Drosophila melanogaster: one gene and its partners. Changing the gene in region 1 together with any one later gene gives a genetic interaction. Each region holds a gene or a part of one and is shown in the gene's direction. Other genes may lie near its edges. The genes, in order: rhea, sli and Slik.

Region 1 (10,461 bases):
TTACGATGTAACGGGGTGGATCTGTCTGGCTATATCGGTGCGATATAAGTAAGTATCCTTCGATGTTGACAAATCCCCAGACCATGTCCTGCATATCCTGCCAAAGGAGGAGCAGCGGCAGCAGCGTGACAAATGTTGCGCAAACAAATGGATTACATTGCTACCACAGAGCAAGCTACCCAAATGCCTCGCAATGAATCATAAATTTCCATAACTGTCATCCGATCTGGGCAGATTTCTTTTCCTCATCGGTCGGCGAAGAAAGCAAATTGGTCGTCACCGGATTACGAACTTTGTAGCTAATCCGTAAATTGAAATTCGCTACGTAATTTGCTAATGACCCGAACGAGGATTAAAGGACCAAGTTGAAATTGATACAGACTCATCAAATTGTTATAGGAAATTTTAGAAAGAAAGTTTTCTAGCACTTGTATATATTTGTATATATCGTAATATATTACAGATGGATTTTCCATGTACATTTATCAAAGTAAATTGGCATTAACTGCTATTTCCCAAACTATAAATAGTGTTCGATCTATTCCAAGCGAATTTAAAGATTTATGAGTTGAAAGAATTGAATTTTTCGTTTCGCTTGATTTCTTTATCAATGATTCCTGCAGCAATTTAAAATCCTTCCATCTGCATTCCAACGAATTTAGAGCAGGAACACTCCCATACAAAGTGCAAGGACAATGGGAGAACTGCTCCTCGGCTGCTGGATGTTTGTGCAACTGCTTTAGTTTCCCGTGGCCATTAAGTCGCGGGTCGGCGGATGACAAAGGATAGTCCATTAGACACAAGTCACAATTCAATTGAAGCGAGCTGGCAAATGGGTGTCCCCCATTGAAACCCTCATCCTTCTGGGCTGCATTCTGCACTTTGAGTCCTGCGCCCTTTGTGATTCATTTTTGCAAGCGAAACCAGAACAAAAGTCGGGCCTGGATAATATTTTGCGCTTTTTGGTATGACGAATCCACATGTCGCACACGAATCGAATGGGCAAACTCGCCTCCTGGTCGAGGGGAAAGGCCCGGAAAAATCCGGGAAAACCCCCTGCTCCTGTCATCCGTTTAGCGGGCAATCAAGCGTGTAGGGCAATTCAATAAGCCGGCAGTGGTTGGGGTGCCACAAGCTTGGAGAACTTTATCAACACCCATGTCGGCATTAGTTTTGTTTACAAACTTTCCGTTGCCTTTTTGACAGTTTGCCCGGGGTGGACGCCATACCATTTGTGCACCCCCCACCCACTCCAAACATTTTCCCAGTCCACACTTTTCCGGGGTGGATTTTCGCTTGGATTTTTATTTATGAGCACTTAAATCGAAGCGCAAACTGAAATTGCACAGTGCACATCTACATAAATATGCAATTGCGGGATTGTGAGAAAGTAGTATCGCTGATAAATGATGAAAAAATTATAAATAAATACGGAATACATCGCTGCCCCTCCTCCTTGTTGTTATATGTTTCTTTTTTTTTTCCTTTTGCGATTCATCGCATCCCTCATGTAGATGTCACCCCAACCAGGTCCTTAGATGACAGCTCCCGATAATGGTGACATCAATTTGAAACTCAATTGAGCCTGTTCCGAGCTCCTTGATAAATGCTGTGCTATCAGCGCCGTTTATCGTCCTCAGCTTTTTGACTGGGTGCGACAAGTCAGCGAATTGGAAACGGAATTGAACAGCCAACCCCCACAAGGTGAGGGGTTCCATCGCCCTGGTATCCTCTGGCTCATCCATGCTCATCCTTGCCCAATCCTTGATCTCTGGGGCGTTGCGAGCAGTTTACATGTTTAATGCCTGCTTAATTGCTGCCTATGTCTCAGCGGGGCAGATCCTTTAGCCAGGATAAGCGGCCGTCCTGTGAATAGTGACATGTCAGCGGTCCCAGAAACTAAAATGAAATGCTCATTTCGGGAAAATTAAGTGAAGACTATTAAGATAAAATGCATTTCGAAATGGATGCTATACGTTAGAGTTTTGGTAAGGAAATGCACGATTTTATAGAGCGAATAAATTTGTTTTGAATATAAATATAGAAAAAATTTAATAAAGATACGGAAATATAGGTGTTCCTAGTAGTTCTTAGGAGGCATTAATCAAAAAATTGATCCAAGTTATTGAAAAAAATTTAATAAAACTTTCAATTACACGCTGCAAATAAACATTTTAATGCCTTGAAATGTCAATAAATGCCTTAAACGAATGGAACTTTTAACAAGCTCACTGCACCACCTCCTCCACTTGACACCCCTGACTCCAAGCCAAATTCCAAATCCTCGGATACGAACTCAACCTCAACATGGCCATTAGGCCAAGTCGGTGCATGGCCTCGCCAGGATAAATAGACTGTTGAGTCATTAAACAATTTACGCAGCCATAAATTTACGCAATTTACTTAGTGCGCAAACACACACATCCCGCAGGATGCCGAATGTCCTGGACAGGGCAATAAAAAATACCCCTCCAGCCTGGGCTGGAATCGAGAAACATTAACACATCTGGCCAGATACAAAGTGCTTGAGCTTGGGCTTGGGTTTGGGTTTGGGTTTGGGCTTGTGTCGTCCGCCTGAGCGATTAACTTTTTGCATCCTTCACACTTGGCTGGGCGAGTTAACCCAGCGTCATCATCTTCATCATCTCCTATCCTGGAGCAAGGACATTGCCCACGCGCCGCTTGTTTGCATTTTTATTGCCACACGCTGCGGGGTTGCAGGATGTCGATTTTCAGCACGGCCGCCACGAAATTTTAATGAAATCGTCATCAATTAAAATTCGCTCTCTTCCATGTCCATGCCCCCAGACGCCAGTGACAAAGGCAATGACAATGACACGGCACAACACTCCAGTTTCACATTTGACTGCACTCAGAGAAATGAATTCTCTAAAAGAAACACAAATAGCTATAATGGATTGCCAAGGTCTTCCAAAGTCTTAAAGTATCTAAGATTCAAACAGATTACATTTCATAGATCAGTGAAAGATGCTTGCATCAGTTTTAACATAACTACCATAAGTTCTTATACTAAACTCTTTCTAAAGTCTCAATGATTTCTTCCTGTGCACTCCTTTGGGCTTGTTCCATCTTTTTACGACCGAGACGTCCATCCGGGCACTTCCACGAGCTTAGTCTCGGATTGCTTATAGGATTCTCCGGCGCATAACTCGCCATACTCGTGCCTGGGATCGTTCTCAGCTATAAAAATAATTTGTGGCCAAAAACTCCCCTTCCATTCAGCTTCAATCCCGATCTCGAATTCATCCAAAAGGGGTTTGGGTCGTACGGCTGCCGTCAATTTGTAGTCGTTTGCTTGTTTTTCCAGCCTCGCCCTAATGGCTTTTCATAAATTTTTATTGTTCTCAATATAAGTTTTTCATAGCTGCCCGCATGCAAATGTCCTTCGAGTGCTTCGAATTTGTGGGGAATTTGTCGGGCAATATGAAAACGAGTTTACGCCTTTCCAGAATGCTAAACAAATTGGGGAGAAAGGACGGTTCACTTTATAATTGTGAAGCAAATCGAATTTAAAGGTTTCGAAACGAATTTCCCAACAATTGTAAGCGGAATCTACACTAAATAATACATTTATTTCTAAATTAATGGGTATTAAGAAATGGATATGAATTTATTTCCGTTTTTTGTTTAGCAATAATTTCTAAACATTTTGTAAGTGTCTGGTACTAGTTTCTAAAAACAGAGAAGCAATTACAAATTTCAAGCAATTAGTTCTTTTGAAAACACTCAAACTTCTTGTCATCATAAATTTCTACGTTTTTCAAGTTTTTCTAGTTTTTGTTGTACTTAAAATATGAAAAAAACTTATTATATTTCAACCAATTTATTCGTCTCCAAAGAGCTCAGATTCATCCGCAACTAGAAACCAGAAATGCATTCGGAAAACTACAAACTCAATTAGATGGCCATAAATCTCCGGCAGAGTCAAGAACCCTCTAAATTTTGGTTGATAAAATGCCGAAATTATCACGGCCCAAGCACATGATATATGGGCATTCGGCTTGGCCGGTTTAACCCATTAGCCAGCCGGAAGATCGCTCAATTAGCGTTGCTCCTCGCTGCTGGTCAGTCCCAAGTCCCAAATCCCAAGTGGGTCACTCGAGGAAAGGATTTGCGAATCGGGTTTTTATTTGCCATTACCGAAAACCAAACTCCCTGGCCTCTTTGTTGGGCCAACAAAGTGACATAAATCTTGGCGAGCGCTGGCACAAACTCAACCGGAACTAAAGCAATGACGCAGCAGGAGCACCAGGACACATGTCGATGCGTTCTGCTCATCCATTTCGCTTGCTCCTCCTTGGCCAGCAGTCATAACGGGCGTGTGTGTAAAGCGAGTGTGCCAGTTCCGAGATTTATCGGCCCGAGGGGTGAGTCCATATCTGCACATCCTGCATCTTCTATCTGCGTATCGGTTTGGCAGGCCTCGAATCGCGGGACATCAATGCTCAATGCCCAATGCCCAATGCCGGATGCCCAGAACGACAGGCGTTCGATTGAAATTAATTGAATTTGCGCCCAAGCCACGAACTTGACTTCGTTTCAAGAAATTTCTCAAGCGCGCAGGGGCGGGCATTGTGCACAGAGAGAAATTTTTATATGAAGAATATAGTGTTTTATGTATGAAGGTTTTCTGAAAGTTCGCTTTAAAATGTTTCTCTTGAAATTTCCAATAATTAAATTCAAGTTTGATAGTAGCAAAAGGAATGTTTATCCCCCCCTTTGATAATTTTGCAACTTGTCTTTAATTACTTCTCATTTTTTAAGAGTGTTGCGAAAGAAGGACCGTGGACGCTTGTTTCCTGTTTATGCTCGAGATGTTTTGCAGCATAAATTACGCGTACACATATACCCATGTATTCGCGCATATGATATCCTTGACAAGTCGAGAAAGGAGAAGGGAAAAAAACAGGAACATTAAATTTATTTTTATTTCGCTGCCTTATAGGGAAAGCAACCCCAGTGAAAGGGCCCCCAAAGACGCGCGCTATGTGCGGTCCGTTGACTTTGGCGAAGTCATGAATTCGCTTGCTTATTTTTATGATTTTGGCTAGTTTTTGTTTTTCGGCCCTTAGATTGCTCGTCTATTTTCTGAGGGTTGTAAGTTGCACACTTGGTTGCCCTCCAATCGCCGAAATCAAAACGGAAACGATGATCGTCTCGGAGAAAATTCAGGAAAGCCAGACAAATTTATCAAGTTTGTGTGGGGGTGCGCTTTGGTGGGGCTTGTAACCTTCATTAATCATGTGGATATGTTGTTTTTATAGGATTCGACTACAAATCGCTTAATCTTTAAGCCTTGTTTTAGTTAGACTGCATTAGTTGGGGGTTTTATTTTAAATTTGGCGCTCATGCCTTTACATTTGGGGTGACCCTGCACTTAACAGTCTGCCATTGGCATAACAGCTCTGTGTGCAGACTACTTTTTGCTTGCCGTAGTAATTTCAAATATTATAGAAGTATAGGCAAACTATGATTAGAACTTGTAAATTTATATATTTTTTATTTATTTTGTAATTATGTGACCCAAACGCTAATTGGTTCCGATAGCCGCAATGACTTATCGATAGCTGCTTGACGCACGGTCACACTGTCTTAACTACGGAATATTTTGTAAAGTGTTAGTTTTATTTACTCGATTTTAGCTCTCTTTAAGCCCTTTTCGCCGTGTGTTTCTGTAAGTTAACCAATGTTTAAAACCCCAAGTGCACAAATCAGTTTAAAGCCCCTTTCCCGCGGCATGAAAACGCGTCAAACAAAGCCAGTGGAGATTCAGCTGCGGCCTGGCCAACAAGAACTCATTTCGATTCGTTCGCACATTTTGTTGTTGCCGCCTAGTGGGTGCTCCTCCGGGGTGGAGTCATCATCGTTATCCCTACCCCCAGTTGTTGGCGCCGACTGTCCGGATTTTGGTCTCTCCCACATGTCCCGCACATTTGTTTTTGTCGGTCACGCGAATTCCGCCCTTTTAACCAAGTTTCCAGTGTAACAACAAAAGGGGGCAAAAAAAGGGAACGCCCGCATTTGTATGTTTGTTCGTTTGTTTGCTTGTAAGCATCGTCTACGTTTTATGCTAATTAAAGTGCAACATTTTTTTTTTAGCCAAAGCTGCGAATATAATTCAATTAACGAGAGTCCAACTGCGACTGCCTCGCATTATCAGCACAGCAGTTGGTTTGGTTTGACGGCTTTATCTGAGCAGCTGGATGAGCGTGCAGAATAGCATGGTGTATATGTATATGGGGTACATTCCATACGCGATAAGATAACCCCCGGTTGCTGAAGAAGAAGAAGAAGAAGCGCCGGATTCGCGGGAGTTGGCAATTGCCTTCAATTCTCAAGTTAATTGTGGAGTTAGCTGTGCAACTGCAACCCTCAAAGATCCGAGACGAGGACCCACAAGACTCGTGCCTACATCCCGCTGTCAGTGGCATAGAGATTCACTCTTCCCGGGATCAGGCCCTCAATTGCGTCAATAATTGGACCTAATTGAAGTCAACAGGCTATTATTTTGCCTCCTTTGTTTATGCACGTTTTTGGAAACTGTTGTATTCAATTATTTCAACTGAGATTGAAATTTCTCATGTATTCTGTTTGTGTAAGAGTTTTAAATGCAGATACTTTCCTAAAAAGAGACTGGTCCTGTTTAGATTATAGTATCTATAGAGATTTGAACCCATAAAGATTACGTTAATATTGTTGATTGTTTAGAAGCATTCCTTTTGGGGAATAATCTAGTCCGTCAAAGAGTCATTGATATTATAGATAAGAAATGTTTGGGTCATATAACATCATCAAAACAAAACGTCATTACCAAAACATTTCAAAATACTAATACTTACAACGCTCCAATCGCTTGACTAGCTTAGCCCTTGAAAAGCAGGAGTAATGTCCATTTCTTAGAAAACCCCATGTGACTAAGCGCACTTCCTCTTCCAATTTCTCGCTTCCTCTCTGCTCACTTTTGAGAAGAAAGAAAGAGCCATAAGTTGGGCAACAAAAGATTAGTCACCACTGGCACGGGTCCATCACCTTGTGGCCACTACCTTCTCCTCCGCTGCCCCTTCATTTCACCGCCCTCCCTCTGGCTGGCACCTTTTGTTTTGTTTACATTTGCAGACGGCGATCAGGAGAATCGGAAGAATCAGAGAGGAGAGAAGCCTAGCAGCAGGTGGCTCTCTTCGCGGCTCTCCCATCTGTTGCTCATGCTGCTCACACTGCCCATGGAACCGAGCGAACCACTCGCTTCTATGGCCCGCTCATTCGAGTTTCGTCCGTCGTCGGTGCCAATTCGTTCGATTGTGCCGCGCCCGATATCGCTATTGAAATATATATATATATACATATATCTACCCATATATATGTATAGGCGATTCGTACATATATGAATATCGCATATCGTGCATATCGTTCAAGTTCAAATATCAAAAGAGTTTCCAGCCCAATTGTGGGAATTAAAGAAGGTATATACATGACGAGAGTGCGCGGTCATAAGTGTGTGACATATGGTGTTATTTTTATCCATTCCGAGTGGAATATGTGCCACAAAAAGGCAGTTCCATTGTGTAACTAAGTTCAAACGCCAAATGCACGTTGCGCCTGCGCGATGCGCGCCAAAAACCCATCGGAAAACCCTTTTCCCCATTTCGGATGTCGAGCGTTTTAGAAAACAAGCTGAAAATTACCTCATCGCGCTGCCGGCGCCAGCGTCGACGTCTGCCGTTTGATGTCTGCCCCTGACTACGCTGGTCCACAGAGAAAAAATTTGGATTATAATAGATCACTAGGCTATATCTTATGACGTGCTAGCGAAATCTTAGGACTAGTCAGATTAGCATAATTCGCTTTTCACGATGATGCTTTTTTTTGTATTTGTATATGGATATAAACCTGAGCAAAGGGTTCCATTCAACAACAATGTATAGTATTTGATTATGTAATCAAGAAGTACTGCATTATTTATATTACTGTTTATCAAAAAAATACTATATTATTCTCTGTGTACACAAACATATAGATATTTCATTCTATATTTCTTGCTTGCCTAGCAGCTGGCGGCTGGCCTCCCACTCCCCTCCTCCACAAATGCGATTTATCTTTAAGATACAACGTACGCTAAGATTTGTTTGGTATCTGTACGTAGATTTATTGTTTTTTTTTGTTACGCTCTTTCCTCGCTCTTCTCTTCACCGATTTAAATATCTCGCGTCTTTCGATGTTTTGTCATAATTTCTCTGGCTTTTGTCCTGTTTTCTACACATTTTTTGTCCGATTGTTTGGCAAATTTCGCCGTCGCTCCATTTTGTGGGCGTATTTTGTATATTATTTATCCATTATCTCGAAATGTCAATGCGCTCGTTTAAAGCTGTTGTTATTTTCAGTCTCTCTCACTTTTTCGAGCGTTTCGACCTTATTAGCAGTGGGCTTCGGTTTTGGAATGCCCGCCACATAAACACGCTTCGGAAACATAAAGAAATCGAGATCGGAGCTCATTTTCACTCCATGCTCCACTGTGTGGGCAGTGCATCGGCTCCACATCTACCAAATATTTCGGACGTAGACGTGGGGACGCTCAGCATCCGCCAAGATATTAGTACACTTCACAAATATTAATGCTCAAAGATCTAAATATCATTATCAAAACATTAAAATATGAGTTTCTTATTTGGAGAATGCATGTTACTTTGTTCTTCTGGAATTCTGTTTTCTACTGACCCATTGTCGTTCATAATAAATATTTCAACACTTTCATTTTCTCCTGATAAGATCTTTACTACATGTTAAAACACTCGAAGGAAAATAAGTATGAGAGTGTTCCAATTTCACCATCTTATCTGCAATTCGATTTCCTCCTCAAAACTCAACTCATGATATATGTACCTATTTCTAGGCAAGCTGATATCAGTAATGTCTTTATACTTCATTGTTTGTATATTTGTATCCGTACAATCCAATGATAATAATCCACATGTTTGGAATGTTGCTTAGACCTCGATTTACTATATATTTATAAGCTATTTATAGCAATTATCCAAAAAGTATTACCCGGAATTTGTTAAGTGATCCGCGTGCACATTCGGCTCGGCTGGAGCGGCAATTCATTGAGCAAACTGATTTGTAACTCGGTCACTGGTGGAAACACTGGTGGGCAGCAGCTTGTGTTGCCCATTTTGGGGCACGTTTCGATTGCCAGACAAGTGACTGCATTTTCCACTTGTATCTGTTGGATAGTTTTTTTTTTCATGGTTTTGCATACTTTTCGTTCGCCGTTTTATTAATTGAGCTGTATTCATTAATTCTTTGCTTTGCTTTGGGGCGAGACGAGTGCAAAGGTCTTCCACTGATCGCTGGCCATACAACTTTCGAATACGAGATTGATGTCCCGGGGATGTTTACGCAGCGAGGATTACTTCATAATTTCGGGACTAATTGAATTGGTTTTTTTGGGCAAGCGTGAGATGGGAACTTTTTGATTGCTTGGTAATGTGAAATGACACTAAAATAGGGCGTGAAAGTTAAAAGTGTAAAAATCGCTTATGAACCGTTCAATATTTATTCACCCATGTTACCTCTGTTATATATTTCGATTTTTCGCCCATTTGTTCGATTTACTTTTCAAGCTCAATTAAAATAAATTAAGCCACCCGTTCAACTCGTTACAATATCGAAAAAAAAACTACTGGCGGCAACCAGAAGAACAAAAGCAAAACGACCAGCGTAATAACAATTAAAAAATAAAAATAACAACTGGTGTGTGTGCTCTATTTTCTTAACGCCTCAGCATTTTCAATGGTTTTGTATTGCACTTGAGATACATGAATGCATACATGCTGAATATACATTGGCTATATATAGCTACACTGGGCAAACAAACCATCTACAATATTATTGATCTTGTGTAGAAGTCCTAAGATAACACTCAGATATGTTGTAACTTAGGTTCTGTACCAAAGTCGTATATCTATTAAGATATGAAGAACATACTTTTCTGCTTAGCGGTCATGTTTTCCCTACAACTATGCAACTTGATAAACGTTTTTGAGAAAATCTTAAATATTGTTCTCTCTGTACAACAGATACAGCTACTTGGGGCTGATGTGAGTTTATGTGGGCTTAATGCTGCCGCACACATGTTTCGCTTTTTCACCGGACCTGAATCAAACAACCGAAATGCTAAATAAACAAAATGGGCCGCAGAACTCAGAACTCGTAGATGATTCCATATTGAGTTCGATTGGCCGTAGCGTATTGTGGAATAGTTTATTGTTTTGGAATGTTTCTTAATAACGCGGAACTCGAGTGGCGGAGGTGGAAGCACCGACCAGAAACGACCGATCTGAATCGGAATCTCGAACATTTCCATCTCGACTCAACTCGATTTCACTCGATTCGCATTCCGTTTTCGCACGCACACTCATCGTTGAGTCATTAAGAATCGCTGGC
Region 2 (10,461 bases), on another chromosome or scaffold:
TCAATTAAGGAAGACTTTCAGCTGTTCATTAAGGCCTACAAGCCAAATAGGTTGGTAATCTCTTAGCTGATTAAAATATATAAAACAATCAACTAAACTTTTCTTATTTCTAGCTTCCTCTTCCGGATCATTGGAGACTTCCACGGAGCCCGTTATGGACGTTTGGAGGCGACAGTCCATGCGTCGAGCCCTCGAGCAGGAAGACACCAAAGCTACAGTTGCGATGGAAAGAGAGGAAGACGATATACCGACCTTATTGGTGGAGTTGCCACCGAGACGCGATGCGGAAATGCGTCGCTGTTTCTCCCAAGGCGATTGCCAAGCATCGGTAGCGCCTACGGTTGGCTCTCAGATGCTCACAGAGGCGCACATCTTCGACAACCTCCTGCAAACGAACGCACGGGCATCGAGCGAAGAGCCGCGACCCCGGCAGTATGGTCGCCGCTTGGAGGGACCTCCTACTCCAGTTCGCCCCTTGATTCTAGCCCAGAGTCGGCCACAGAGCGCTCCGACGCGCGTGCAGATGAGAGAACCACAGCTGCAGGACACGCCCACGCACCCAATTATGTCCACATGCTCGGAACTCAGCTCGGCGCGCTCGTCACGAATGCCCAGTCCAGTTTCCCTGCCCTCGGACAGCAGCAGCAGCGGAAGCAGCTCTGCTGAACACGATCAGGAACCGGATCCCGTGCAAACCACGACCATGTGCAGTGCCAGCAGTACGACGCCCCTAGAGCCGCTCCACCAATTGCAATTGCTGCTGCGCGAGAAGTGCGGTTTCAACAGTCAATGGCCCCATGCCGGAAGTCGTACTCTTGCACTGATCGGATGCACTTTGGGAGTCTTTAATATGTGCCGATTTGCCGTGCTCACCATTAACTTTGGTGGCAACTTTCTGCTACAGTTTCTTCTGCTCTCGGTTATCTTTGGAATCCCACTTCTTTGGCTGCAAATGTGCTTGGGCGCCAAAATACGTGCTGGTCCCGTTTCCATGTGGAAAATCAGTCCGATATGCGCCGGAGTGGGCATAGCTCTGGTGATGCAGCAGTGCTTCCTGGCCTTGTACTCAACAGTATCGCTGGCCTGGATTTTAGTCTACCTTAGGGACGTATTCCCGACAGCAGCACGCAGTGGATATCGCTGGCAAGAGATGGCATTTCCCTATCGCTATGATGCATCGAATGCAACGGGGAATCTCACGCAAACAGTGGCCGAGTACTTCAACGTGGTGGTGTTGCAGCGACTACATCTGGCCAATCATCCTGATGCCAGTGGAATACGATTCCACGTTAATGATCGGGTAAGTTTCGCCCTCCCCACTATCCCGCTTCTCATCTAACTGACTCACATCCAATTCCTTCAGCAGCTGGCCTTTTATCTGGCCCTTATTTGGGCGGCCGTGTTTCTCATCCTCTGTAAGGGTCTCAAGTCCTTGGGAAAGTTGGCTTACATTATCTACACTCTGCCGTTAGTAGCTCTGGCGGTAGTGACCGCTAAGTTTGTCTATGTCGTGGATCCCAGCAGGATACAGGTAAGTTTGTTACCCGACAACAAAAAACTCTTTAAACTATCGATATTCTGTAATTTTTGTAGAACATCTTTGCTGCCAGCGATTTCGACGACTTTCTGGTGAACTCAAATAGCTGGACGGCAGCCACGCAGGAAACGTTTCTTACTTGGGGTCTCCTAGGCGCCTCCGTAATCGCTATTACGAGCAGAAGTCACACCAATGCCAACAAGGCCGCTTTGAGGAGGGATGCGATTCTCCTGGTATTGTTTACCCTTATCGGATTGGGTTTAATGGCACTGCTAGCGTTGTGTTGTGCACAGATTCTGTGGCAGCATGGATACGTTTATGTGCCAGGATCGTTTGGTGAGTTTTAAATCATGTCTCTTTTTTAGTTTTAAACTAATTCTATTATGCTTTTCAGAGAATCCCGATTGTTACACGTCCATTTACTCGCTGCAATCAAACACCAATCCTTATCTGCTTTCCTATCCGCGCTCGCTGATTCCGCACTACTCCTCGTTCATTGGCGAGACTTACAGGAGGAATCGCACCATGATTCACGTGGAGAGCGGATTCCAGGCACTGCGCTTCATCTCGGAAATCTTTCCGGCCGTGCTCTCGCTGGCCAGTGATAGCATATCGTGGGTTTGGGCTGCAGTGGCCTTTGCAACGTTCGCCGGATTTGGTCTAGCGCAGCTGTGTGTGATGTGGAAACCCATCTCAAGTGCCTTAGGTAATTCCACGAGCTCGGTTTTGTTGAGCTGCGTGACTGGTCTGCTCCTAAGCATTCCATTCGCCACAGAGATGGGCATTTCGATCTTGTACTATGTAGATTTTCTACTGGGCGGCTCCTGGTTCATTCCGATCATCTGGACGGCTCAGATATTTGGCGTGTTTCTAATACGGGGGCGTCCGTACAACGGAGATGATCTGGTAAATGACCTAAGGCTTTGTGGGTCCATGTCGGCATTCTTGGCATTGTCTTGGAACGTTTTGCTGCCCATTGGTCTGATCACATTGTCTGTCGTAGACTATAAGGCTTCGTTGTCGAATCAGTTTTATTATTGGCGTGGAAAGTCATACTTTACGTATTGGTCCAGGAAGATGGGCAGTCTTATCCAAATTGGAGTGCTGTTAGTCATTCCCGTGACTGCTATTATTCAAATCTACCGGTATTTGGCGCACGGGCCACCCGATATCTTGGAGGTGAGTCTATAATAATATTTGCCTTATTATTTGGCACTTTCAATAATATTATTTCCTTTTCTCTTTTAGCGCATTCAACTGCTGTACCGACCGCCCGAGGAGGGAGAGGAACCGCGTCGTCCATCCGCTCGACAAACGGCGTCCCAAAGTCGTCGTAATGCTTTGGGCCAGACCACGGAGGGCGGCCAACACGATGCACAGAACGATGCTCCGCCAAAGTACACACCACCTCCGTCCTACACAACGGCCACTGGAGCCCGCCTTGCCAAGCTTCTGCGCCAGAGCATTCGCCGCAGCGTAAGAAGGTACATAAAAACCATCCCTTAATATAAACAAAAAGTTATTTACGACCAATTTATCGACACAGGGTTCTCGGAGACTCAAGTCGAACGCGACCCGTGCTCTCCCTCGATGCGGAGTCTGCTTCGCCAGCGGCGCCGCCTGATTACCTAACCATACTGACCAATCCGGCTGGCAGTAGTTTCAACGCGGATCCTTCGCCAGCTTCCAGCAGCAGTCCCGAGTCCATAGAGATCGACCAGCGACCCGTTGGCTACTCCCAACGCTCGCAATCGTTGGGCAGGAAACTGCATCGTTCGGGTGCTTCGACACTGGAGAGGCGGCCCTATACGGCGGAGGATGTGGTGACCATACTGCGCTCCTCGGTGCGACATCGCCAGTCGCAGGGAGGCGGAAATTTGGTCACTGCCAGCACCCTGCCTCGCCCCCCAACCGCCGCCATGTCCACGCACTTGGAGGACGCCTCATTCCGATCCATAGAGAATCTTGTGCTGAATGCCGAGCCACCGGACAGAACGCCCGGTGTGGAGCTGGAGCTCGAATTGGAGGCTGGACAGGCGGAGGAGTGCGCGCGAAATAATACATCTGTGATTTAACTGACTAATATCGTACCGTACATAGCGTAACTCTTATGCGATCCACATATCCGCTTGCTTTCTTAGACTTGATTAGCGCTAGTTATCTAAATACGAATATTACCTTGTAGTTATGCGAATAATAACGAAAACAACTAGTTGGTACTCCCAAGTGTGAGCTCTTTTGATCCCTACAACCGGTATTCCCAGTTCGATCCAACCCACCCCATTTAATTCCATTTCACATATATTTTAGGCTTACGGATCGCGCCTGTCTGCACAGTTGCCCTTAAAATTATCCCAACAATGGAGTAGGCCTCCTACGTGCCCAGCTCTCGAGGGTCAGCTATTTAAGGGAATACGTACTTGGGCCCTAAGCCGATTAACAAACGTGACCAGTTGAATAAAAAAAGTGAAAATAAACGGAAGTCCAGGATGGCGTAGCCAACAAAGGCGCCTAATGAGGCGGGCCAGGAAGTTGCTGCATATTTCGATTAAAATGTCACGCCATTTCTTTTGTTTTCTTTGTGACTTGCATATTCCAAAGGGATTGGCCTGCAAAAAAGTTAATCCGCGGAATTTTTAAATCAGCACGAATTGGCGGTTATTATTTTAATATCTGGCAGCGCTGGTTCAAAGAACCAGTTCAAATGGGTTGAGTCTCGGCTAGAACTTTTGTGAAGTTCACACAATAATTGATACCGTTATTTTTACTTATAATTAGTAATTTTAATGCTAGAAATACATAAATAACAATTGAGACCTATATAAAAGCAAGTGATAAGGGTTCTTATACAAGCCAATGTGTGTAGTACAACTACTCTATAATTTGGGATGATAGTTATAAAGTTTTAAATAAATATATATTTTCATGAAAATATTATCAACACTTTAATAATGAACGAGTTTTTGGACCCTTATTAACCATAATATTTGAAATTTAAGTTGGAACAAGAAACTTTTAAACTGTTGGCGAACGCGGTATTTTTTAGGCCCTTCTTGCCGGGTGAGGTTACTCCTGCATCTGGTAACACTGCTCGGCAGCGAAACAGAAACATAAAAAATTCGAACGGCGACGAGAGCGGTCAGACGCACGCATCACTTTCAATCGCGTCGCGTAGAGCGTCCAAAAAGAATTATAGTATAAACCAAGAGTGAAGATTCCGGTGAGCAAAGAATTTGCAATTGCCAAACTTAAGCAAAAACCATAAAGTGTGCATTGGCAATTGAAGTCGCGCGTTCTTAGCCAATCCACATTTGCACGGCCATTTTAAAGCCAAGTTAAGGCCAAAGTTTTCTGCCGCGCCGTCTTCGTAAGTCGCAGGTCGAAAAGTGCTCAAACGAGATTTCCACTTGAAATTCCTGAATTTCGTTTGTCTGCGCGAATCGCATCGAATCGAATTGAAGCACAAATCGCAGCAGCAGAAAAGCGCAAAAGTCGAATTTAAATTCCGTCTGCAAAGTGCCGAAAATTAGTGTCTTTGTTGTGTTAGTGTTTTGTTTCTTTGTCTGTGTGGGTGTTACGATTACGATTGGATTAGCGGTGTTTTCGCCTGATTAAAACGGTAAGTGTCCTTGCGATAATCCTGCGTGCAAAGTTAGTTAGCTGGTGCCAAGTTCGCTCGCCACTCACACACCTCCACCGCCGCCACTCACAACTTATTTTGCTGCAATTTGCTCTAGTGTTTTGTATTAGCATTTTTATGTCCCGCCTCGCCAAAGTTGACAAACAAAAACGTACACACACACACATACACGCACCGACACGTAAGCACACGCACACAAAGGATTTCATTACATTTTGGGTGGGACGTAACGGTAACGTTGAAGTGTAACGTATAACCCTCCCCTCGTTCTATCTCTTTCCCGCCCAAAGCCCCGAATGCTGTGCTACCGAATTTGTTTTCGCCTTCGCTCAGTTCTGTTTTCTCCTGTTTTTATTTATTTTGATGGCGTATTTTGCCATTCCGCTTTGTTCGTATTGCGTATCCTGTCGCCTGCGCTATCCTTCTACAGTCGCATCTGGCTAGAAGGAACTATCGTGTGCCTCAGTCACATGAAAAATATTACACTTACGTAGGTGATTTGATTTTTAAATGTATAAAGTCCCCTTCAAATTGCTAATTGAAAAATATATAAGTTCATGTACATAATCTTATTATGTCATCAATTAGAACCACAACATCTTTGGTTTCCCATTAGTATTTATAGTAACATTTTCTGAGCCCAGGGTATTCTGGTTTCACTGTACATTTTTCGCTGTCAGCTTTTCTTCCTAGTTTCTGCCAGCATTGAAATGAGTTCGCAATAAATATTGCCCAATGTCAAATAAAAGGGCGATGAGCCAGCCTTTTTCCGCCATGGCCCCTTTCCACCTCGGCCTATCTCCTCCATTCGCTCTAATCTCGGGGGACACTAATGCTTTACGACAATTCCTATGCCGTATGCCGCCCAGTACAAACTTAATGCACACATCAATGGCAAATTAGATATACTCCACAGCAAATGTACTAATAACAATCATCGAGTGCGTGTGCGGGCGGGCTTCCGATTCATCCCATACCATACCATACCATACGATACGATACCATCCCGAACCATTCCATCCCACACATACGTCCTCTCAAGACGATTGTTTTGTTGATTTGGCTGTTACTTCCAATACATTGGCATTTAAGGGGCAGAATTGGGATCCACTTATGTGCCTGCCTTATGTCTCATTTGTCGTCGGGCAAATGGAAATCGTTTTGTTTTTGCCTTGTCAAGTGACAAATTTTCATTGTCTCCCGCCACTAATCGCTTACTTAAAACAAAAAAAAAAACCAAAAAAATGAAGAAGATACCACGCCAAAGACTCCAAACAAGAAATAAGACAAGTGTAAATAAACACTTGAGGAGGAGGGAGCGTGGGATCGGGAGTCACGACTAACCGATATCCTCTGTACAGTGTGGGCGGGGGCATATACGCAATGACATTATCATAAAAGGTGCACATGCCAGAAGTTAAGTCGCGACAACTTTCCGTTATAACTTTCAATAACCTTTGTTGTTTGCTCCAATAAAAGCATTTTAATCGATACTCTTGACTTGTGTCAATCCATTCGGATTTGTTTTTGGTTACTAATGGATGTAATGTATGAAGTTATTGGGGCGGCATAAATTAAGAACTTATTTCCTTTGTGGATTTCACGTTACTAAACAGATGGTGATGTGACGCAAATGAAGTCCTAACAAAAGGATATTTATATATATGGTATTCTTTCGCCTAGCTATTTACCTGTATTTTCATATTTATAAAAATACTAAAAGGCCATTCATATTTTATATGGCGTGTGGTCTAATTACTTATTTTTATGACCTAGAGAAGCAAAGATTATAAATTAGCCGTTAAACATTCCTTTCCTCCATCGTACATACCTTTCGATACCCTGTAAATTCCAGTGTATGTACTTAGAGTACGCACACGTACTTGCCTCTTTTGGTGGCATTGCCCGCGGCACCTTCACTTGGCGCAGCTTGCCTTAATTTCCAGCGGACAAACCACTTTGTTATCGCCACGCCGAGGGCCCTTTAATCTCTGGTAGTCCCTGGTTGGCTGGTCAGACCCACCTCCATCTCCGTCGCCTGCCCATTGATTTACGTCTCTATTTTCCAAATGTAGCGCAATCGATTTAGATTGATTTTGTTTAAACAAACTGCACAGCGCAGCAGAAGCAGCAGCATAAAAGGCACCAGAAAGTGTAATAAATAATTGGAAACGGAATCGTTGGGCTGATTTTAATGCCAGCGTTAATTGCGAGAGCCACCCAATTTCATTTCCATTTCCATGCCCAATCGAAATCCAAATGCCATTCCCCAACCCTCCCCATACCTTCAACATTTTCATGCCGATGTAGCGATGCCCTAGGCCAATTCCAAATCCAAATCCAATTCCTATTCCTATTCCTATTCCATCGATGCTTTGGTAATTAGTTGTGAATTGGATTGGGGATCACATAAAAGTGTTGATTACACACTCCGATGGCTGCGCCCCCAGCCACGCCCCCTTCCCGGCTGGGTGCCAAGTGTTTTGTTTGTGTTTATCTCGTCTTCGACGTGTCTTTTTGGGTTTTTCAGAGGAATTAGGGTTAGCCGTGCGTAGTGAAAGTCGATGGGACTGCAGCAGGTGTTGGGTCCAGCAAATAAAGTTGGTCAGCAGGAAGCGTTCCAATTAATCGCATTTATCGCACGGAATTTCAACTACGCAGCCAATTAATTGGGGCAGTTTGAGATGCCAGATACTAAAGATACAGATACAGAAATTCCCACAGTTAAGCGACTGTAATTGAAATTGCACTTGGACAGACATTCAAATTATACAAATGCCTCTCAGCAAATTTGATTAGCAGCACTGAATTCTGGACAGCGTAGGGAACCCCAAACATAAACCATTTTGTCAATTACAAAAATGCTGAGCATTTTCCTTGCAAGTCATGGTCGGGGGTGACACACAAGCGGGAAACATCTTCGCATAGTTGCAGCAGTAAAAACATCAAAGTCATTTCATGTCTTCATAAATTCGCCCACCAAAAGGGCAAACAAAAAATGTTTTTTTTTAAAAAAAAGTAAGGCGAGGAAGACCTCAGCTATCTTTTTCTGCTGCCTGTCCCTTTTTCGCTATTTCCCTCACTTTTGACTAAGTGAAATGACCTGCCATTTTGTAAAAGGCTAAAAAATAAGCAAGAAAAACACGACAAGCCGAAAACAAAAAGCTCAAGTCACAACTAATAAGATTGAGTTAAAAAGAGGGGACTGTGCGGAAGAGAGAGAGAGAGAGCGATCAGCGAGGGAAGGTTAATGTCTTATCGACATGCTGCAATCTATGTATTTAATTGACTCGACTGCAATTATAGGGTACACTCTTTATATATATATAGAGTGTAGTGTCTTCTTCCTGCAGATAAAGCGTCGTAAAATGAAAGAGAAATACTTGCCTATAATGATTTCGCATAAATCGTGACTACTCGCCAAAATGAAAGGCGAGAATTTATACTAACAGTGTACGAGGTTGTATTTGTTGGAGCTACAACAAGTTACAATGTAGGCAACCACGCTCCATTCGCAATTCAGCGTGGAGTGGAGTGTCGGTCGATGTCAGAGGCTAGTACCCCCAGTACCCCTCCAATTCGGCTCCTCTGACTCCACTTCGCATGCCAATCGTTCGACGTTTCCCGAGAGTCAGATGCTGAAACTGAAGCTGATGCTGGATTTTTCGCCGGAGTCTGATGCCTTTGGTCAGCCAAAGTCAGGCAACAAAAATCCGAGCCAAAAAAAATAAAATAAGCGAAAGACAACGGATCAAGTTGAGTTTGTCAAGCCGAAGACTTGATACACTATAACTAAGTAAAATAAACGTAATATACAGATAAAAGTGTATACAAGTATGCAACAAAAAATAGATTATCACATGGAGTGATACTGCATTACCAAAGCGCATATACATCTTTAAAATGCCATATTACACGTATTTGTTTACTACATATTTTTGATTAGAATAGTTATACTCTCTGGTAGGGTATATATATATAAAAGAAAAGGCAACGAAACCTGTAAGCGGCCACAATTCGCGGCCAGCTCCTAGAGATGCGCACGTGACTTGGTCATCCCAAAGATTCCCTTTCTCCTCTCAGTTCCACTGACCCCCCCCCCTCCACTCCCCCTCCACACCCGATCACGTTTGCCAACAAATTGAAATTTATTTGTGTTGTGCCACAGCAGTTAATGCTTATTTATAACGCCAATTAATCGCCCGACATAGATAAAGCGAAGGGTATGGCTAGAAAAAATCAGGGCAAGAGGGGAGATGTATTTTTTTTTTTTTTTATTCGTGGAATTTAATGTTGTGCGCGAGGAAATTAAAAGCAAATATAAAATATGACAAACTATTTGCATATTTAATTTGTTGTACAAAAATCCCCGCGCCCAGTGCATGAAATACATGACAAGTTTATTGGGGCCCATAAACTGGGCTAACTTATGATTTATGAGGGTGGATTAGGCCAAACATATATGTACGAGTATATAGTAGGAGTGTCATTTCCCACGCTCACGCCACCATCTCTAGGAATCAAAAGCTGCAAAAACATTTAGCCACGTTGGGTTAGGGACACTCAGGCCAGCAGAGAGACAGACAGACGGATGGACGAACGGACAGATGGATCCACAGACGAGGGACAATGTCTCTGGCCATTGCCAAATCGTTAGCACTTGGCACTCTTGGCATCGCATCCGCCAGATACTCGCTGCCTCATCATCGCCAACGTCATCGTCATCATCGAAATCTCCGGCTCTCGAGACACAGTTCGTTTCGGGGCTTAGACTTTCAAGTGTGTAATGAAATAAAAATATGTATTTAAACTTTATTTGATTGTCGTTGATTTCGGGCGACAGCTCTCCGTCCCGTTCCCATTCCCATTCCTAATGAAAGAATGTAATAAACCAATTTGGTTTCTCTTTTCCCCCGCCATTTGCATTCTTCCGGCCATCCCGAGGAGGCGTTCTTCTATAAATTTTGGAAGCTAACCAGACGCGACATTTCCCCGGAGTCCACTACCACTACCACGTCCACTACCCATCATTAGGCCTGACAAAAGTTGTTCTTCCAACTCATTTGTACAATGGGAAATCTTCCCATAATTAACGGCAGTGCTTGGATGGACAACTGAATCCGGAGCAGGGGGGGAGGCGAGTCGGACTTGGAATTTCTATGCCTCGCTGCACACAAATGGAGGGAAGATGGCCGGATCCAAGGGGGTTCACGGGCAGCTCAGACGAGGGACACTCAGACGACGGGCATTGCAATTGGATTGCCTGGAGTATATTCCTATTGTT
Region 3 (10,461 bases), on another chromosome or scaffold:
TGACAAACAAAATGCATGGGCTGCTGCTGCTCCTAGGGATCTGCGCTCGCTTAGAGACCGCTCCACTTCTGCCAAGTCACTTTGTCTAGGCCAAATCTCTCTCCACCCAGCTCCTCCACTCCCTCGTCGTAAAAAGTCCAAGAGCAAACACCACTTTGCGGCAGTCATCATTTGCTCAACAAGTGTTTGCTTTGGCAACCTTTTGCCGAGCGACTCGAAATGAAAAGCGCCGGAAAGAAAGGACGGAAAGCCAGGCGAGTGGAAAACTTAAGGGGAGAAAATCACGTGACGTGTCTTATTGGCCTCATAAGTGACGGGCGAACCTCTGAGGGTGGTTTGTATAAAAGCTGAAACTGCGAATTGTCACGCGGGAATATTCCAATTTCTTTGCCGATTCTCCGTTGGTCGTTTTCAATCAGAGATATTGGCGCTCCTATCTCCTAGTTGAGCTGGCTTCAGGAGCAACCTGTTGTTGGCTTCCAACTCGCAGCCTTGTTAGGCGAGCAATTAGGGGATTCGTTGGGGACTCGGGGAAAGATTCTTGCGTTCCCAGAGGAAGTTTAAGGGTCCTTACTGAGCATTTAACATACAATGCGCTCCAAACTTGCAGGCGTGGGCTATGCGATCTGCCTAATCGACATTTATATGGGCATGTACTACAACACGATTATCGGCTGGGCGGTATACTACCTCTTCGCCTCGTTCACATCCAAGTTGCCGTGGACGTCGTGCGATAATCCCTGGAACACTGAGAACTGCATGCAGGTGACCAGTGAGAACTTCACGGAACTGGCCACGTCGCCGGCCAAGGAGTTCTTTGAGTGGGTACCCCTGCATCATATTCCTAAATTTGTGTCCTTAAGCGAATGACTTGCAGGCGAAAGGTTTTGGAGAGCTACAAGGGCAACGGGCTGGACTTCATGGGTCCGGTGAAGCCCACGCTGGCACTCTGCGTCTTCGGGGTCTTTGTCCTGGTCTACTTCTCCCTGTGGAAGGGAGTGCGCAGTGCCGGAAAGGTGGTGTGGGTCACCGCTCTGGCTCCTTATGTGGTGCTAATCATCCTGCTGGTTAGAGGAGTTTCCCTGCCCGGCGCGGACGAGGGCATCAAGTACTACCTAACCCCGGAGTGGCACAAACTGAAGAACTCCAAAGTCTGGATCGACGCCGCATCCCAGATTTTCTTCTCCCTTGGCCCCGGATTCGGAACCCTGCTGGCCCTGTCCAGCTACAACAAGTTCAACAACAACTGCTATCGCGATGCTCTCATCACCAGCAGCATCAACTGCTTGACCAGTTTCCTGGCCGGCTTTGTCATCTTCTCCGTTTTGGGGTGAGTTCTCGATAGCTTCTTTTCGAAGGGTCTTTCAGACTTTAAGTACCTCAATAACTGGAGCTTAGAACTTATAGATCTGAAATCTTTTAATGTCACTTCATCCCATAAAGGTACATGGCCTACGTCCAAAAGACCTCCATCGACAAGGTGGGCCTGGAGGGTCCGGGGCTGGTGTTCATCGTTTACCCGGAGGCCATAGCCACGATGAGTGGCTCGGTGTTCTGGAGCATCATCTTCTTCCTGATGCTGATTACCCTGGGACTGGACAGCACCTTTGGCGGATTGGAGGCGATGATAACAGCGCTGTGCGACGAGTATCCGCGAGTGATTGGCAGGCGCAGGGAGCTGTTCGTCCTGCTGCTCCTGGCTTTCATCTTCCTGTGCGCCCTTCCCACGATGACCTACGTGAGTACTCGACTGGGATTCGGTTAATTAACTCCTAAGCACTCGCCATACATATGCATGCATGTCCGACTGGCCCATTTAACGCTCCATCTGGCTGATGGCTGCCCCTGTTCAAATATGCTAGCTAGGAGTCGATGGATGGCCGTGTTAAGTGCTTTTTATCGTCCGCCAGTTTATCTCCACACACTCACTCCCTTCCTCTCCTGCATTTTTATCACCTGTCAAGACGGGTGGACTTGTTTGCCTTCAGCCCGGTCAAGCAACCACCACCGGGTTCTTCCCCCCGCCACTTTATCTGATTACATTTGAAATTGTAATTCGCTGCCTTTTCTATTCCTGCCTGTTCTGGTCACTTGGCCACTCCGGTCGGAGTGACCAGTATCGGTCAAGGGATCAAGCTATTCAATAACTCAGGCCTCAGCCATTAATCAGTGCCAGTTAAGGGAGATCCTGTTGAGTGGATCTGATTGCTATGATACTGAATTCGAACTTATTCCAACATGTGTATGATGAATAGTATTTACCCCTTATTGGGAATTGGAATTTAATAAAGCACATTTTATTTAGGGTGGCGTGGTGCTGGTCAACTTCCTGAATGTCTACGGACCCGGGTTGGCCATCCTCTTTGTGGTCTTCGTGGAGGCAGCCGGAGTCTTTTGGTTCTACGGAGTGGACCGCTTCAGCTCGGATGTGGAACAGATGCTGGGCAGCAAGCCAGGCTTATTCTGGCGGATCTGCTGGACGTACATCAGCCCTGTGTTCCTGCTGGTGAGGAGATGGGATAGGGTCAAGGATAAGCTAAGATAGTAACCACGCACTTTCCACAGACCATATTCATTTTCTCCATCATGGGCTACAAGGAGATGCTCGGCGAGGAGTACTACTACCCGGACTGGAGCTACCAGGTGGGCTGGGCGGTCACCTGCTCGTCGGTGCTCTGCATCCCCATGTACATTATCTACAAGTTCTTCTTCGCCTCGAAAGGCGGCTGCCGCCAGAGGCTGCAGGAGTCCTTCCAGCCGGAGGACAACTGCGGATCGGTGGTGCCCGGCCAACAGGGCACCTCGGTGTGACATGACCACGCCCAGGTTCACGTCAACATCCGCACCAGCTGCACGAGCATCAAGATCTACAACCTCAACTGCAGCAGCAACAGCAACAGCTTGTCACCAACAACCTCAGGGGCCGAGGGAAGGAGCTGCTACTCAACTAATCTCAACTGCAACCATTCCTGCCCGTCGGAAGATCAGTATCGGAGCCGGAACCACCAACAGCAACAGCAACAGCATCATCATCATCATCACCATCAGCATCAGCATCGGATCAGCAGCGATATCATTAGCTCTAGTCTTAGGCAGTCGCACAGCCATAGTTTAAGCCTCTGCTCGGTGCAGAGCAATCCCATGGCGACCACCAGGATCCCACTTGCTGCCGAGGACAATAACTGCTCGCTGCGACTCAGCAGCTGCCAGCCGCTTAAGTTCCCGCTGGCCAGCGAGTGGCTGGTCTAAGTGAGCCTCCAGTCTACACCGGAGTCCTGCAAATCAGCCATTTTGCAGGACTCCCGTGCATAGTGCTACAATTCGGAAAGGAGGTGCCAGGAACTCAATGTTTGATCTAGTTTCTGATTGCTTTGCAAGCACATAGTGAACCTAAGTATTCTAGTTGTTGGGTCATCGATGGTGTTAGCAATGGAACCCTTAGCCTTAGTTCGTAAGCGTTAACTAGCTCAGCTGTAAGTCAAGTGAAATTTGGTAAAATGCTTTCTAAGTAATAACTGCTCTAAGATAGAGAACGCCCTGTACAATGCATTACTCAACCGTTTTTGTGCTCGGGGAAAGGCAATCGTAAGTCAGCCATTTACGTTGCCTCTCCAGCGAGTTTAGTTTGTTTTAAAATATAATTTCGGTTTTACGAAATACAAAAACACAAGCCTGAGCGGTTTTAATACTAGGTATGCTGCTTCTAGCAATATTAGAGGAAAGCAAACAATAGGAGTATTTAAATTATTTAATTTTTAATTACATAAACTTGCCATTAGTTAGTTACGCGAAATAATAAGAGGGAGCTTAATTTCGTGTGGAAAATGAACGATGAATGGTAGCAATGCTTGATTTCTGAGGCCACTGCACACCCTCGCCGTATGGTCTGCAGATGAGTTCCACTTCCTGGAGAACAGAAGAAGCAGCAGCTAGTCCTGCGCCCGCTGCTTCTTTCGTTTGCGACGGGGTTTGCGCTTTTTCTTCCGCTCCTATTTGCGCGAACCCTTGCCGCCTTCGTCCTTGCCCTTGTCGGCCTTCTCCTCCGCCTTCTTGCCGTCCTTGTCCTTGGTCTCCTTGTTGTCCTTATCCTTGCTATCCTTATTCTTCTCCTTGGCCTCCTTGCTGTCGCTCTTGCCCTCCTCGGCGTCGCGGTTGGCCAGCTTGTTGTTGATCAGGTTGTGCAGGGCAATGATCGAGCGCACCATGGAGGCCAGGTAGACGACTAGCATTTGGTCGTTGGTCTTCACATACATTGTGCCCGTGAACTGGTCATTGGTTATATCGGGCAGCAGGTTGAAGATGTCCTGCAGCTGGTAGACAATCTGGTGGTTGATTGGCATCTTGCTGTCGCCGACGCGCTGCAGATACTGCTTTATGTCCCGCAGCTGGGCATTCAGGCCTTTCAGACCCATGAGCTGGTTGGTGATCTTTTGCGACAGGCTGCCCACGGTTGTGTCCTTGATGTCACGCAGCAGATGCTCCACGCCCACCTCCTCCGCCTCCTCGGCGCCAATCTCGCTGGGCACATGCTCGAAAGTTTTGCTGGTCGGAGAGCCGTCGTCATGGACTTCCTCCACCGATATGTACGCCTCTGTGGGCAGGCCCAAATCCTTGGGCTTGGCGTCGATGATGACCAGCACGGAGTTGGGACAATAGCGCCGGACCAGCTCGTTGATGGCTATGTCGTTTTGGTGGAGCTTGGGACCTGTGTGATACCATCCCACAACCCGTTCCCTGGCGTTCACCTTTTTGAACATGCCGTACATATTCTCCAGGTAGTCGTGGTCCAGGAACCACACCGACTTGTCCTTGTCATCCTCGTCGAAGGGCACTGGAAGTCGGGAGGGAATTCTTTTGTTTTATGGCCACGACTTTGGATATTCAAAGGCAGTACTAACCTGCGAAGCTGTTGGACACATCGAGCACTCCCTTGGATCGCCAGCAGCCCAGAAGGACTCCCACTACGCGCTTCTGGTTGCCAATCTTTCCCATCCGGTTGAAGTGATCCACCACGGACAGCAGAACCAATGGATGCACTATCACTTTGTTTACGCTCACCTCCTGCGACGGCATGTTTGTGCTTTTTCTGGGTTTTCGGTTCGGGGGCTTACTATGACCTCTGCGCCGATTGATAGGTACCGGACTGATTTGTTTTCGACGGGTTTGGCTTCCTGCGACTCCTGTTTTTCGCTAAATTACCTGCAATTTGCGGCAAAAAACTCAGGCCAAAATGACAAGCAGAAACGATTTACAGTGTGGCCGACGCCTCGCTTTCTGAATTTATTTCAAGGCAAGCAAAAGCATGCTTTTCTAAAAATGATTAACTGGTCACACTCGGACTCGGAATACAGCATATTAAATATAACATATTCATTATTTTCCTACACTTACATTTTAGAACAATAAAGTTGTCGTGTTCTGGAAAGTAGTGAATTGATATCGATTTTCTACAGCTGTTAAGAAAACCTAATAGTTCTATATGTTATAAAGGGAAGGGTATAGGAGGACCGGATTGCTGGTGTATAAAATCACCCATCCTTGGTATTTTTGGAGTTTTGTTGAACGGCCACACAATGCTGGTGGAAAAATCATGAGAGGAAAAGCGCCGTGCAAACAGTTAGAAAGTGCGCAATCGGACAGCGGAAGTGCGGAAAAGAACGTTTGCTGAGGCTGCACCTGCCGAAAACCAGCTGTAAAGCAAAGTAACTAAGCAGCAGCCGACTTAACTTATTATTTCCCCCTCTGCGTGTGTGTTTGCATAAGTGTGTGTTGTTTCTGTTTTTGCCCTTGGCGAAGGCAAATAGTGCTGCTCTCTTCTGGCACAGATGACCTAAACGGCCATTTTTCGCCGGCGCTGCCAGATCGCCAAACAGGGTGCAATTGCAGCTCAGTGGCAACACGAAGCGTTTGCGCGAGAGAAATTTCCAAGCATTTTCGGGGTAAAATACGCTTCAAATGGCTTAGTGTGCGGCAAAAACAGTCAAAATAGCGATAGTGCAGTGATAGATAAAGCCGAAAACCGTGAAAGTGACTGTGTACGAATGAGGTAATACCCCATTCCGTTTGCGTGCGTCCTCAAGTTTCACGCCCATTCGCCGCTATACTTGCTCCGTAATCATCAATGGGATGTTGAATTTAGTTAAAAGTGCGCGTGTTGTTTACAAATTTCACGAATTACGAGCTGAGCAGTGCGAATTGAAGGCGCCTCTACGAATTAGTCAGCTTTGGCATCCGTAAATCCCGGGTTTCGCTGCAATTTCGGCGTAAATAGGTGTTCGGGTGTCCGTCTTGAAGGGGGAGAGGGGCTTAAAAGCCCAGAGACCAGCTCACAAATACTCGCAAGCAGAGACACACGCACACACACACACGCACGCTCTTTTGTCTACGTCTTTGACTTTTTCTCGTTTGTAATCATTTCCCTCCCATTCGTACGTGTTTTTTCTACAAATATTAGAGCTCGCTAGCTGCTAATTAAATTATAAAACATACAGAACACAGAAGCGCTAAAGACGGGCCAACCAAGCCCACAATCCCCGCTTTTTGGCCTATTTCGCTGAACAAAAAAAGAGAAGGAACCGAGGAGAGAGTGCTGCAAAGAAGGTGAGTTTAGGCCACGATATCTGGGCTATGGTCTGCGTTCTAGAACGGGGCAGTTCCACCCCGGATTCCGATTCAGAATGAGATTCAGATTGAAACTTAGAGCTAGACTTGAAACCCTGCCAAGTCTGTGATATACACCTGCCCGTTCAATCAATAAACGCTTGCCAATGTCCGCAGCTTTCACCAAATCTAGTTTTCCTGCTTGGACTCTCGCCCAGGAGCTCACTATGTAGACTCAACCCAAGAAATCATCATCGTCAGCAGAAGCAGGGGAAATCTACAAGAGAGCCAACATGTCGTTTATCACCAACCTGAAGAAGGTCTTCCACCTCGGCGGGGGTGAGGCCAAGAAGAAGCGCCTGTACAACAACATCAAGATGGACACGGATCCGGCGGAGTTCTGGGAAATGGTCGGCGAACTGGGCGACGGAGCCTTTGGCAAGGTTTACAAGGCTCAGCACAAGGAGCAGAAGCGATTTGCTGCCGCAAAAATGTGTCAGCTGGAGGACGAGGAGAACCTTAGCGATCACATGGTCGAGATCGACATTCTGTCGGAGATCAAGCACCCAAATATAGTGGAGCTGTATGAGGCCTTTTCCATCGATGATAAGCTGTGGGTGAGTATATCGATGTACTTCAAGTTTTATCGGGATTATGAATCATTCCTTGAAATTCCTCTCAGATGCTCATCGAGTACTGCGACGGAGGGGCCCTGGATAGCATTATGGTGGAGCTGGAAAAGCCGCTGACTGAGCCGCAGATTGCCTATGTTTGCAAGCACATGACCGAGGGTCTCACCTTCCTGCATCGCAACAAAGTCATCCATCGTGATTTGAAGGCAGGAAACGTGCTTCTCACAATGGAAGGTGGCGTCAAGTTGGGTAAGTTATCGGTGCCCTTTTCCTAAGCCGAGACGATCTCAAAGTGAAATCAACTCATTTCAGCGGACTTTGGCGTTTCGGCCAAAAACAAGCACACCATGCAAAAGCACGACACCTTCATTGGCACTCCCTACTGGATGGCCCCGGAGCTGGTGCTTTGCGAAACTTTCCGGGACAACCCGTACGATCACAAAGTGGACATCTGGTCACTGGGCATCACGCTCATTGAGCTGGCGCAGATGGAGCCGCCCAACAGCGAGATGTCGCCCATGCGAGTGCTCTTGAAAATACAAAAGAGCGAGCCGCCCAAGCTGGAGCAGCCTTCTCGATGGAGCAAGGAGTTTAACGACTTCCTGAAGAAGTCCTTAGTCAAAGTGGGTAACCCTAAAATCTGTTATTTACATTCCATTCTAACTTTACTTTTGTATTCCTTCTGAACAGGATCCGCAGGTGAGGCCCACGACGGATGTGCTGATGCAGCACGCTTTCATCAACAGAAATCTGGATGCCAAGCCTATCAAGGATCTGCTGCTTGAGTACAAGGCCGAGGTCGTGGAAGAGGTGGTGGATGATGAGACCGAGGTGAGTGCGCCTTGGAAGCCCATGGATCCCTGTGCCCAGCACCGCACCCTTGTAGTCCAACTGCTAGATGTGATGATAATTTCTACGTTCTCTCACCTCTCCAACTGCTCTTTCTTCTCTCTTACACGCTGCCGCCTGAAAACCCAACCAAATCGCACCGCGCGATACATTATTTTATATGTTTATCTTCGTTTCTTCTCGACTATTCTTTGCCTTGCGTTTATGTTACGTTCTGTTTTGTTCCGCCAAAATGTCGCAATGTTTGTTCTTATCATTTGTATGTGGTTACTTGGAAATAATTGATATAGAAGCTTAAACGCCAAGTGAAGCGGCGCTCGCTCTATCAGAGGGTTGGTAAGTCGTTCTACAGCAAGCCGTCCGTGCTCCGTCCGTTCCTGGCACCCGCACCCCTCCCCTCCTCTGTTTCTGCATCCCAGGCACTGTCCTTCAAAAGCGGACCCACAATTAGTTTACTTATTTTATCAGCATTGCCAAATGCCGCTTATCACTTAGCTCCTCTGTCGGAGGCATACTTCGCTCGTTGTGTTTGTTATTGTACTTGGCTTCCTCCGTAAGCCCTCGCTATCGGTTTCTTGCGGTAATTATAGGCAGCACACTTTCAATCACACACGGTTTTAAGTTACTAATCAGTCTGACCAGCACATAGCTGACAAAAGTGTCAGTTTCACTATCTATAAGCTCCTTACGTTAAGACTTAGATATTGTTTATGGAGCAATAACAGATAGAATTTGCGAACAATGCGTTTATTGCTCAACGTCGGATGTAAACAAATTCTTTTAGGGCTGTTTTGGGGTATGGCAATAAAATGAATCTCGGTGGAATTTCAGAATCGAATATTATGCTTATTCGGCATGCCGAATGTAAGCATAGTTTGGCCGTAGGATTGCTAACGCTATTGTAGTAAGAGACAAGTAGATCTGCTAGCCGAACAGGAATTATTTAGGAACGACACTACGTATGAATATGCTAATAAGCTGTATTTAATCTTTCTCAGGAACCCCGCAACTCGGCGCTCCAGCTCGACCTGGACGATGACTCTGCTTCGCTGCAGAGCCAAGACATTGACAAACGTAAGCATATGAACTTTGGTGCATAATTTTCAAACCCTGCTCACGAAAAACCCCTTCACAGTTCCAGGTACACCTACATCCATTTTGCGGGATGCCAAAGAGCAGTCCCAACCAAGTAGCAGTTTACCAATCGCAGCAGCGGCAACTGCAGCAGCAGCAGCTACAACCACAACTAAAGCAACCACTCCGGACAGACCAAACCACACAAAGGATGACAATGCTGAAGCGGCAGCCCAGCAGCCGCCTCATACCAAAGTGCCTGCTCCAGCGCCGCCGTCGTCCCAACAAACGCCACCACCGCAAGTTCAGCAGCCACCTACACCACCAGCCCAACCCACAGCGGCTGTGCTGCAAAAGAAACCCGAAGATGTGGCAGCTGTTGCAGAAACATCTGAGAAAACCGAATCCGACAAGAAGGTAAACACAACTCATTCAGTTAAGTAATGCAAACTGATTTAAATTCTCCCCCATAGCACTTTGTCAAAAAGGGTAAGGCCCCGCCCCCGCCGTCCCCATTGGGTCTTGCAAATGCCAAGCCGGCTGCCAGCGACTCCCAGACGTCTCCCAAAAAACTGGCCACTCCCGAGCCCACTTCTCCAGTCACCACGGCTATTGAGGTGGCCATTGGCCAAGAAGCGATGGAGCCCAAACCGCAGCCGCCATCGCCCACAGCCTCCTCCATTGTGTCTGTGCAATCGGTGGCCTCTTCCAGCTCTTCGGGCAGTGTTTCAAATGCTGTTCTCAGCTCGAGCACTTCCCTTATTACCATCAACAGCGATCCACCCACACCGCATCATCACCAACCGCTGCCACCTCAACCGCAGCACTTGATTTTGCCAAACAGCTTGGAGTCGGTGAGTCAGATAACAGTCGTGACCAGCACCCATCCGCCGGTAATCATCGACAACTCGGTGATGCCACCGCAAAACGAGGTGATCATCGTATCCAATGATATGAACAAGAGCACTCACCTGCATGAATCTTCGACGGACGATGATTTTCCATCGCTGGACGACAGTTTGGGTGATGCCACCACGCCGCCCCACAAGCAATCCTCAATGATATTGGCTGTTAATGAGCCAGCAGGTGTGGTTCCTGCTCCTCCGTCGCAACCGCAAACGTCTTCCACTGTTCACGCACGCAAACTGGATGAAAGTGAGGTGTTAATCGTCAGTCCGTCCTACGCGGATGATGACTCGGCCTATAATACGGCATCTGGCAGTCATAGCCACGATCACAGTGACCATCTGATGGACACGAGCCACGTCTCCGTGGTCACCGTGGGCGATGAGGGAGTTAAGGTGAA

What was found.
Region 2: of rhea (region 1) and sli, changing one enhances a phenotype caused by changing the other (phenotypic enhancement), as found in Drosophila melanogaster (one study listed by BioGRID).
Region 3: of rhea (region 1) and Slik, changing one suppresses a phenotype caused by changing the other (phenotypic suppression), as found in Drosophila melanogaster (one study listed by BioGRID).

Annotation. Positions count from the first base shown.
Region 1 is NT_037436.4:8,539,395-8,549,855, forward strand, and holds the start of rhea (rhea), read left to right. Parts: upstream 1-5,606; 5' UTR 5,607-5,695; intron 5,696-7,280; exon of another isoform or gene 7,281-7,481; intron 7,482-10,461.
Region 2 is NT_033778.4:15,916,334-15,926,794, reverse strand, and holds the start of sli (slit), read left to right. Parts: upstream 1-4,676; 5' UTR 4,677-5,156; intron 5,157-9,999; exon of another isoform or gene 10,000-10,461. Other genes in the region: bdg (bedraggled), read left to right, coding at 1-50, 114-1,300, 1,364-1,531, 1,594-1,873, 1,932-2,716, 2,786-3,021, 3,084-3,612.
Region 3 is NT_033778.4:24,397,802-24,408,262, reverse strand, and holds the start of Slik (Sterile20-like kinase), read left to right. Parts: upstream 1-5,582; 5' UTR 5,583-5,702; intron 5,703-5,878; exon of another isoform or gene 5,879-6,428; intron 6,429-6,454; 5' UTR 6,455-6,600; intron 6,601-6,777; 5' UTR 6,778-6,893; coding exon 6,894-7,217; intron 7,218-7,282; coding exon 7,283-7,481; intron 7,482-7,544; coding exon 7,545-7,855; intron 7,856-7,922; coding exon 7,923-8,063; intron 8,064-8,159; exon of another isoform or gene 8,160-8,235; intron 8,236-8,371; coding exon of another isoform or gene 8,372-8,413; intron 8,414-9,079; coding exon 9,080-9,155; intron 9,156-9,216; coding exon 9,217-9,572; intron 9,573-9,628; coding exon 9,629-10,461. Other genes in the region: SerT (serotonin transporter), read left to right, coding at 611-821, 878-1,330, 1,444-1,738, 2,306-2,506, 2,566-2,811; Rpn8 (regulatory particle non-ATPase 8), read right to left, coding at 3,990-4,831, 4,899-5,073.